Diceros bicornis minor: one gene and its partner. The protein of the gene in region 1 interacts with the protein of each later gene in a biochemical or structural test. Links are inferred from orthologs where the notes say so. Each region holds a gene or a part of one and is shown on either strand. Other genes may lie near its edges.

Region 1 (3,745 bases):
CAAAATCAAATTGAGTGTTTTCCCCTGAAAGAGTTCTGTCTTTAAAAGCAATCCAATATTAATTCTCGTTATTCAAAGTCAGGGCTTCAAAAATTAAGAGCTTATTCAATTGCCCAGGATTGTCACATAATACAACAATTAATTATGGTCTGATAAAGGGCTTTATGACACGTTGCAGGTGTAATCAGTTGAGTCACTCATCGCACTTGGGAGTACGAGTAGCATTTTCGTGCACTTCAATGTTACGAAGCTTCAGTGCTTTAAACTCTCCAGCACATGTTTTTCCCTGCCTCGCTGGTTTCCAGCCTCCGGGAGAAGTTCCTGCCTGATAAGCCGCTTCAGGAAGACACCTGAAAGCTGGAGCTCTGAGGGCTCTTCCCACGACTCCCAAGGGTAAACGGGGTGCGGTGCTTTTCCAAAGCCAGGAGTGCCAGAGATTTCACCCCCTGGCCGGCACCTACACCCTTTCCTCTCCTCTCCTCTCCCAGAATCTGTAGTCCATCCGTCACAGCTGCAGGGGACCTTAGCGGGGGCGGAGTGTGTGTCAGATGCAGCTGCGACCCCGCCCCCAGCCAGGTTACAGCCTCCACGGCCACCTCATGTCAGCCCATCTAAGCCTTGGTCCCCTCCAGGAGGAAGGAGGGATTAGAAAATTCCTCTAGGGAAAAGGAGTGGCCAGCCCGCCCAGCCGAAGGGCTCGACCACCCGCGGGAGCAGCTTCGAGCAATCGCCAGGTGAGCATGCGGAAGTAGCTCTTCCTCCCCCGCCCAGACCTATCGGCCCAGGCATAACACACCCACACCCACTCGCGTGCACGCATCACACACACACACACACACACACACACACACACACACACACACACCTCTGCACAGAGACGCGCGTACAAGGCACCGTCAAACCTGTCCCAGCCACAGAGAAGACGACCAGGCAGATGAGGAGTCGAGACATCCGAAACTTTTTTTTTTTTTTTAAGGGGAGGGGGAGGGGGCTTAAAGGCCCCTGCCCCCCTCATCCCTGGAGCCAAGGTGAAACCCGAGGCGGCCCCGGCGGCTGCAGCGCGACCGCAGGCGCTCGGGGAAGCGGCGGCTGGTCCCTAACTTGAACCACAGCGACTGCCGCGGAAGCGGGGCGTCTCCGCCCGGCCGCACCTGTTCCCGACTCTGAGGACGGAGCCTCGCACATCCATTCTGACCTTGAGGGCACCCCGAAAATCCACACTCCACCCCGGGTCAGCATTACTCCGATGCCCTCCCTACAACAGATGAAGTCCCCGGCAGGTACCCACCCAGAGGGGCCGCCTCAAAACGCCCATCGCCGGCAAATGATGAATGCGCTTCCCTGGGATCTCCAGAGCTCCCCGGAGCGCCCCTCGCTTTCCCCAGTGCTTACCTCCCCCCTCACACCAGGTTGGGTCCCCTTTTCTCTCCCCCCCTCAAGTGCAAGAACACCCTCCCCAAGTTCAGCGTTCCCCCTCGTCGGCACGCAGGAGGAAAGGAAGCCTCAGAGGGGCGCCCTCGCAAGCTCACGCCGCAGAGCACCTGGGGTGGGGTCCAGCAGCGAATGGAGGGGGCGGCGGCGCGCAGGGCGCCACCGCGGGGGGCTGTCCCCACGCACCCGGCTCGGAGGTGGCGGGGACACCCCCGCGGTTCTGGGTCAGTGCGGGGCGCTCCTGGAACAACCAAACTTTCTCCGCCACCCGAAGTTCGGGGCGTGAGGAGGCGGCGAGGGGGAGTCGGAGCAGCACCTGCCGGCGCCGCAGGAGAAGGCGCCCCCGAGGGCCGCCGTGGCCCGAGCGCGCCGCGCGCAGCCCGCACTCACCTGGCTGTAGAGCTCGCTGACCGACATGACCCCGCGGGCCGGGCCTGGCCCGGGGCGCCGTGCCTGGCGGGCGGCACTCGCTCGTGCGCCGGGGGGCGGCGGGTCCGGGCTCCTCGCTGCCCCGGCGGCTCTCAGTCCCCGGCCGGCCCGCCTGGCGCCATCTTCCTGGGCTGCCCGGGAGTTTCTGTGTTTCTTGTCCTTTCCCCCCGACCTGCCCCGCCGGCTTCCTGGAGGCGCCGGGGCCGGCTCGCTCTCTGCCGGCGCGACCTTTACTCCCGCCGCGGCGGCGTAGCTGCGGCCGGGCCGGAGTTGCGGGCGGGGTGGGGGTGGGGGGGGGGGGAGGAGGCCGCGCGGCGCCGCTCCCCGCGCAGGTGTGGGAGGAGGTGCGGGAGCCAGGGAGGGGGAGAGGGCGGCGCTCGTCGGAGCTGGCAGCCGGGGCGCCGTCGCCGCCGCCTTTGAGCCCTGCGGGGCCGGGCTGGACGCTCCCTCCCGCGCCCCCGCCGCAGCGGGGTCCTTGGGGCCGGGGGCGGGGCCGGGCGAGGAGCCGGTGCCGGCCGCCCCCTGCTGGACGCCGGGCGCGCGCTGGGACAGGTGCGCCCCGGGGGCCCACACCTGCCGCGCCGCGCTCTGCCTGCACGCGGTCTGTGCCCCTGGGAGGCTGGGCAGGGATGTAGTGGAGACAAGAGAAAAAAAGGAGGGAAAGTAAGCCGGGGGGTAGGGGGGATAAAAAGATGCCTGTGACTGAAAGGCTCCCATATATTTTCCTCTGGATTTTACGTGGCTGCGTTCAATATTTTCATGATTAAAATTCAGTTATATCGTAGATTGTTATTAAGGTGATTTGGGTATACCAAAGATTGTCTCCGCCAAACTGAGCTCCCTGCGCTGAAATCCTGATCAGAAAGGTGGGAGTTGTAACTCGTCACTTCGTTTGCCCGGTTCACCCACAGCTTCCAGCTAGGCTCCCAGCTACCTCCATCAGACTTTCATGCTTTGCCGGGGGTCTCACATTTTCTCCCCTCTCTCCCACATGCACACTCTCAGTCGCTCTGCCGCTCCCTGCCACGTTTATTTTTGTCCCCTCTGCTAGTGCCCCTTGGCTGTCTTCAGCAACTACAGTCCCTCTTCTACTTCCAGCAAAAAGTAGAAATTTCAGCCAAAAAGGAAAATAGCTGACAGGAGTTGGTGGAAGGAGAGGAGGGGACACGGCTTTGGTTTTCCGAAGGTGGCTTTTGTACGTGAATGAGGAATGGCATCTGAGGGTGGTCCTCAGCCAGTGTGTCTGTCTATACCTGCTGGAGGGATTGTCCTGGAGCCCCATTCCCTGGAAGGTGATTCTTAAAACTCATCCCATTTAAGACCTTCCCACCTGGAATGCAAGATCCCCATTTAATTCACCGTGGGACCCCTCTCAACTGTGCCTCCTCAATGAGGTTCACCTGGGGAGCTTTAACTGACCCAAGGAAGGGGCCCCACCCTCAAGAATTCTGGATGATTGGTGAAGGGTGGAAATTATCTGAATTTTTTAAGCTCCTCCATAGTCTAAAGGATTGTACTTCTGGGTTGACAAATGCAGTAACCAAAGCTTGGGCTACTCTCCTTGGATCTGAAATGGACTTCATCATGTCACTGTCAAGAGCAGAAAGGAAATGGTTCCATCATTTCTCACTCAAAAATCTCTGCATCCATTCCTTCCCTATATTCTAGTATTTCTCTAAGCATGGCCCTCAGGCTATCAGCATCACCTGGGAACTTATTAGATATACAAATTATCAGTCATCACCGCAGACTTACTGAATCCGCAACGCTGGGGGAGGGGCCCAGCACTCAATGTTTTCATACCTCGGTAGAGAATTCTCTGCTCTCCAGCCAAGAAAGCCCACTTGCTATGGTGCCATCCACATCTGTGCTCCAGATCCCCTTT
Region 2 (3,745 bases), on another chromosome or scaffold:
CAGTTTCTAAAAAGCACTTGGGAATATGCTGACAAGGTTCAGCTATGTGGAGAATATTAAATATCTTTCTTGCAATACACTGCCGGCTCAAGTCTGTCTCTTACTGTGCCACATGTACAGCTGTGCTGGAAAAGGAAGCTATTAAATATATTAAAAAACTAGGAATATTACCAATAAAGATATCTCATCAAATACGTGGTCCCCATTTATCCACAAAGAAAGAAAATGTTAGGGATTTAATAACATATGAAAACCACTTTGAATGCAATAAAAGCTCTGTTGATAACATTTAAAAGCATTTTCCCCCCAAAAGTTCTAACCAATTTTATATAGGAGCCCATAGAGAATTTCTGTAGGGAGACTACGATATTAGAGCATTGCTTACAGCCAAATTTATTGTAACTGTGATGCTACCAAAGATAAGGAGTAAAACAAGAAGAAACATTAAAAACTTATTTATTTCATCAGAATCTTTGGGTTCGCAGTTGGGCCTACTTTCACTTGGAAAATTTATATTTCAGAGAAGTCTTGTAATATATCATTCATTAACATGAAAAGTACTGTGAATGCAGTGTGAAATCTGAAGTTACAATATAAAGTTTACATTCAAAACACTTTATTATATAGGAAGTGTCATCTAACATTGGCAATTTGAAACAAATTATTTGGTAATTATCCATTTTTCATTTTAAAGTTGATGAAGAACTCCTCAGAGGAAACTGGATGCCACTTTGTAGGTACCAGTTTTATTAAAATCATCGATACATAGTCGACTTTACGTTTTTAAAAACTTTTCCTCTCCTTTTTTAAAAAATATTTTCATCTCCTCAATTACCTTAAATATTTATCATTTTTCCTCTTGCATTCCTGCTATTTCTTATTTTTCTACCCAACTATCATATATATATTAAGCCTTAGGTAAAGATCTGATTTAAAAAAATTTTTTAATAAAAACTCCAATCAAGAGAAGCTTGCTGGAAGCTATGTGGAGAAAAGAACAAGAGATGGTTGTTTTAAAATAAAAGACATTAAGATGAACTTCAAGAAAATTATCATTATGAACAAGTTTTTAAAAGGTTACATAAATTTTAGTTATGACTGAAATACCAAAGCTATTTTGGAAATTTCAAGTCCTCTTATAAATTCAACCCTATTTTTCTCTCTCATTAATTCCATCAATCTTAATGATCTCTCAGACTAGAAAAATTATAAGTTTAAGGAAGTTGCAAGTATACCCATCTCTGAAAACACACTATTTTTCAATTTAAGATATAATATTCTAGTGTTCATTTATATTATAGTTTTTTAAAATTAGCATATATCTATCTATCCTAAGCTTAAAGTCATATTTAAAAAGCCATGTTTTCATTGAAGATGTTATTAAATCATTTCATCACAAATTAACCATTGTCTCCAATCTGACAGCATTTAATATGGTCTAAACACACTAGACCTAATTCTGAAGTCACATAGTAGCTCCAATATATTGTAAATTCAAAGGAAAATGTTAGTGTGTTCAAGGCTAAGGATGTTTGTACATACTTTTAAAACTTACTTTCTTTTAACAGCTTTGGACTCCATCAAGATGTACTGCCCCTGAAAAATGGCTGAGCTAAAATAAAACCCAAGTATGTTTATAAGGATGAAATGGAACACAGAGTTCCAAATTTGGTAATTTATCTTTCGACAGCTTCAGAGTTCCACATATATATATGATGTTATATTGGCAGATTTAATTTTCTGATGTTCCATTTCCCGGAAAACTGTATGTTTAAAGATGATAATTTACATGTATGTTGTTTTCGTTGGTCAACACTGTGATCCAGTCCCCTTATAAGTAGTGAAACGATGTTAATTTACTTAAAATCCAGTGCAAAAAATTCAATTATTTAATATGTTTACTCAAACAAATAGAGTAATGGAGCATTAATGACTCCATTTATAAAATGTTTCTTCACAAGGGCTATTTTTACTTCAGATTCATGCAAATATGGTGCTTAAAACTGGGTCATATTTCAGTCCAAAAACCAACGCCCCAGGTATACAAATAATTTCCAAGAACAGAAAATCCATAAATAAGACAGAGTTAAGCTCCCCCAAAATTCAAAATAAATTACATAACTTACTCTGTTTTCCTTCTTTGTTTGTCCTCAAAGATGTCATTGAGATTGATTGCCACCTGCCCTAAAAACTTATCCAGACCCACCAGGGACCTGTGCATAACTATGAGGAAAAGAATGTATTTCTCTGGATTCCCCTGCATTAGCAAGCCAGGTAGCTCAAAAGAGGCCTCCTCCTTCCAGACCGGCTCAAGGGTTTTCTCAGCTACTGAGGTGGAGTACTTTTCCTTGCCCAGCTGAATTATAGTGTATGTGTCATTGGTGCCACTTTTGCCTTTTGGCTTAAGATCTTTGGCTTGGAGCACTGTGACCTGCACGTGGGTTGGAAACCACTTCTGGGCTTGCTCGGACAGCATCATGCTGTGCTGCTTCTCCGCAGCGAGTTCACAAGCGCAGGCAGTGCCCCTCCCGGTGGGGGGAGCCTAATTCCTTAAACCCTGCATCCTAAGGGCACTTAACAGAGACCGGCAAACTCACAGCTGCCCAACTTCCCGAGGGCCGATGTCAAATGGCCTCACCGGGGCAGCCCGGGGGCACGGCTGCTCTGGGGGTCCCCTTTCCTCTGGAGAAGCACAGGGGCCCAGCATCACCTGGCCGCGCCGTCCCGGCCTCCGCGCGGACGCCCGCGCCTCGCGTCTGCACCTTCAGGCTCCGCGGCCCCGGGGACGGGCCCTCGGCGGCGGCGGGCGGCTCCCGGGCCTGCGGGCAGGTGAGGCCTGGCCTCCAGGGCCGGGCGGAGGGCGGCGGAGGAGGGAGGGTGCCCCCGCCCTGCAGACTAGGGCCCGCCCGCCCAGATCCGCAGCCCCCGGCCTCGCGCCCGCCTCCTCGCGGCCGGGCCGCCCCCGCCGCGCCTCCCGCCCGCCCCGCGCGGGTCCGCGGGCCCGGCCCGGCTCCTCCTCCCGACCCCGGTAATACGAACCGCCGGCGGCTCGCGCGGCCTCGCTCCCTCTCGCAAACCTCTCCCTCCTCCTCCTCCCCTTCGCCTCGGCTCCTCCTCTCTGGCGGGGCGGGTCGCCTGGGCGTGGAGTGGGACGGGGGGCGGGGGACGCGGCCGCCCCGGCGCCGGCGGGCCGCGGGCCGGGCCGCGGACTGCAGGGCGGCGGGCACGGGCCCGGCCTCGCCGGGCCGGCGGTTCCTAGCACCGGGCGGGCGGCGGCAGCGGCACTTCCGGGTTGGCTTTCTCCATCTTGCTCTCGGGAACGCGACGGGGCGGGGCCCGCGGGGTCAGGGGTCAGCACCTCCCTGGTTGCCCTGGCGACCGAGGGCGCGCGGCGGGAGCTCCCCGCCCAGTGCTTGGTGCTCCTCGGGTGGCTTCGCGCCCGCTGCTCCGGCCTGGCGCAGCGCTGGGCTCTGGGGACGTGGAGGTCTGCACGGGCCGGCAGGGAGCTCTGGGGAGATCGGGGGACCGCTCCCGAGAGGAGGCAGTGAAGGCCCGGGGCCTGCCCCGTCTAGGGAGAGACCCAGTTTCAATCTTCGGAAGCTGTCTGCTGTACTCTGGATGCCCAGTGCCTGGCACGGAGCGGGCGTTGGACGAATGGCGGTGGAATGAATCAGTCCCCTTCGTTAACTGAAAACACACTTTCCCCAACCCCTTATCCACTCTTCTCTTTTTGAAAAGAGAGAAG

What was found. The genes of interacting proteins can lie anywhere in the genome.
Region 2: the proteins of MYO5B (region 1) and RAB11FIP2 form a complex in vitro, tested with the Homo sapiens proteins (2 studies listed by BioGRID). The link is inferred for Diceros bicornis minor from reciprocal best matches to the Homo sapiens genes MYO5B and RAB11FIP2.

What each region holds. Positions count from the first base shown.
Region 1 is NC_080755.1:42,690,540-42,694,284, forward strand, and holds the start of MYO5B (unconventional myosin-Vb), read right to left. Parts: upstream 2,267-3,745; 5' UTR 1,849-2,266; coding exon 1,822-1,848; intron 1-1,821. UniProt on the Homo sapiens protein: May be involved in vesicular trafficking via its association with the CART complex. The CART complex is necessary for efficient transferrin receptor recycling but not for EGFR degradation.
Region 2 is NC_080745.1:81,039,009-81,042,753, forward strand, and holds the start of RAB11FIP2 (rab11 family-interacting protein 2), read right to left. Parts: upstream 2,876-3,745; 5' UTR 2,480-2,875; coding exon 2,127-2,479; intron 1-2,126. UniProt on the Homo sapiens protein: A Rab11 effector binding preferentially phosphatidylinositol 3,4,5-trisphosphate (PtdInsP3) and phosphatidic acid (PA) and acting in the regulation of the transport of vesicles from the endosomal recycling compartment (ERC) to the plasma membrane.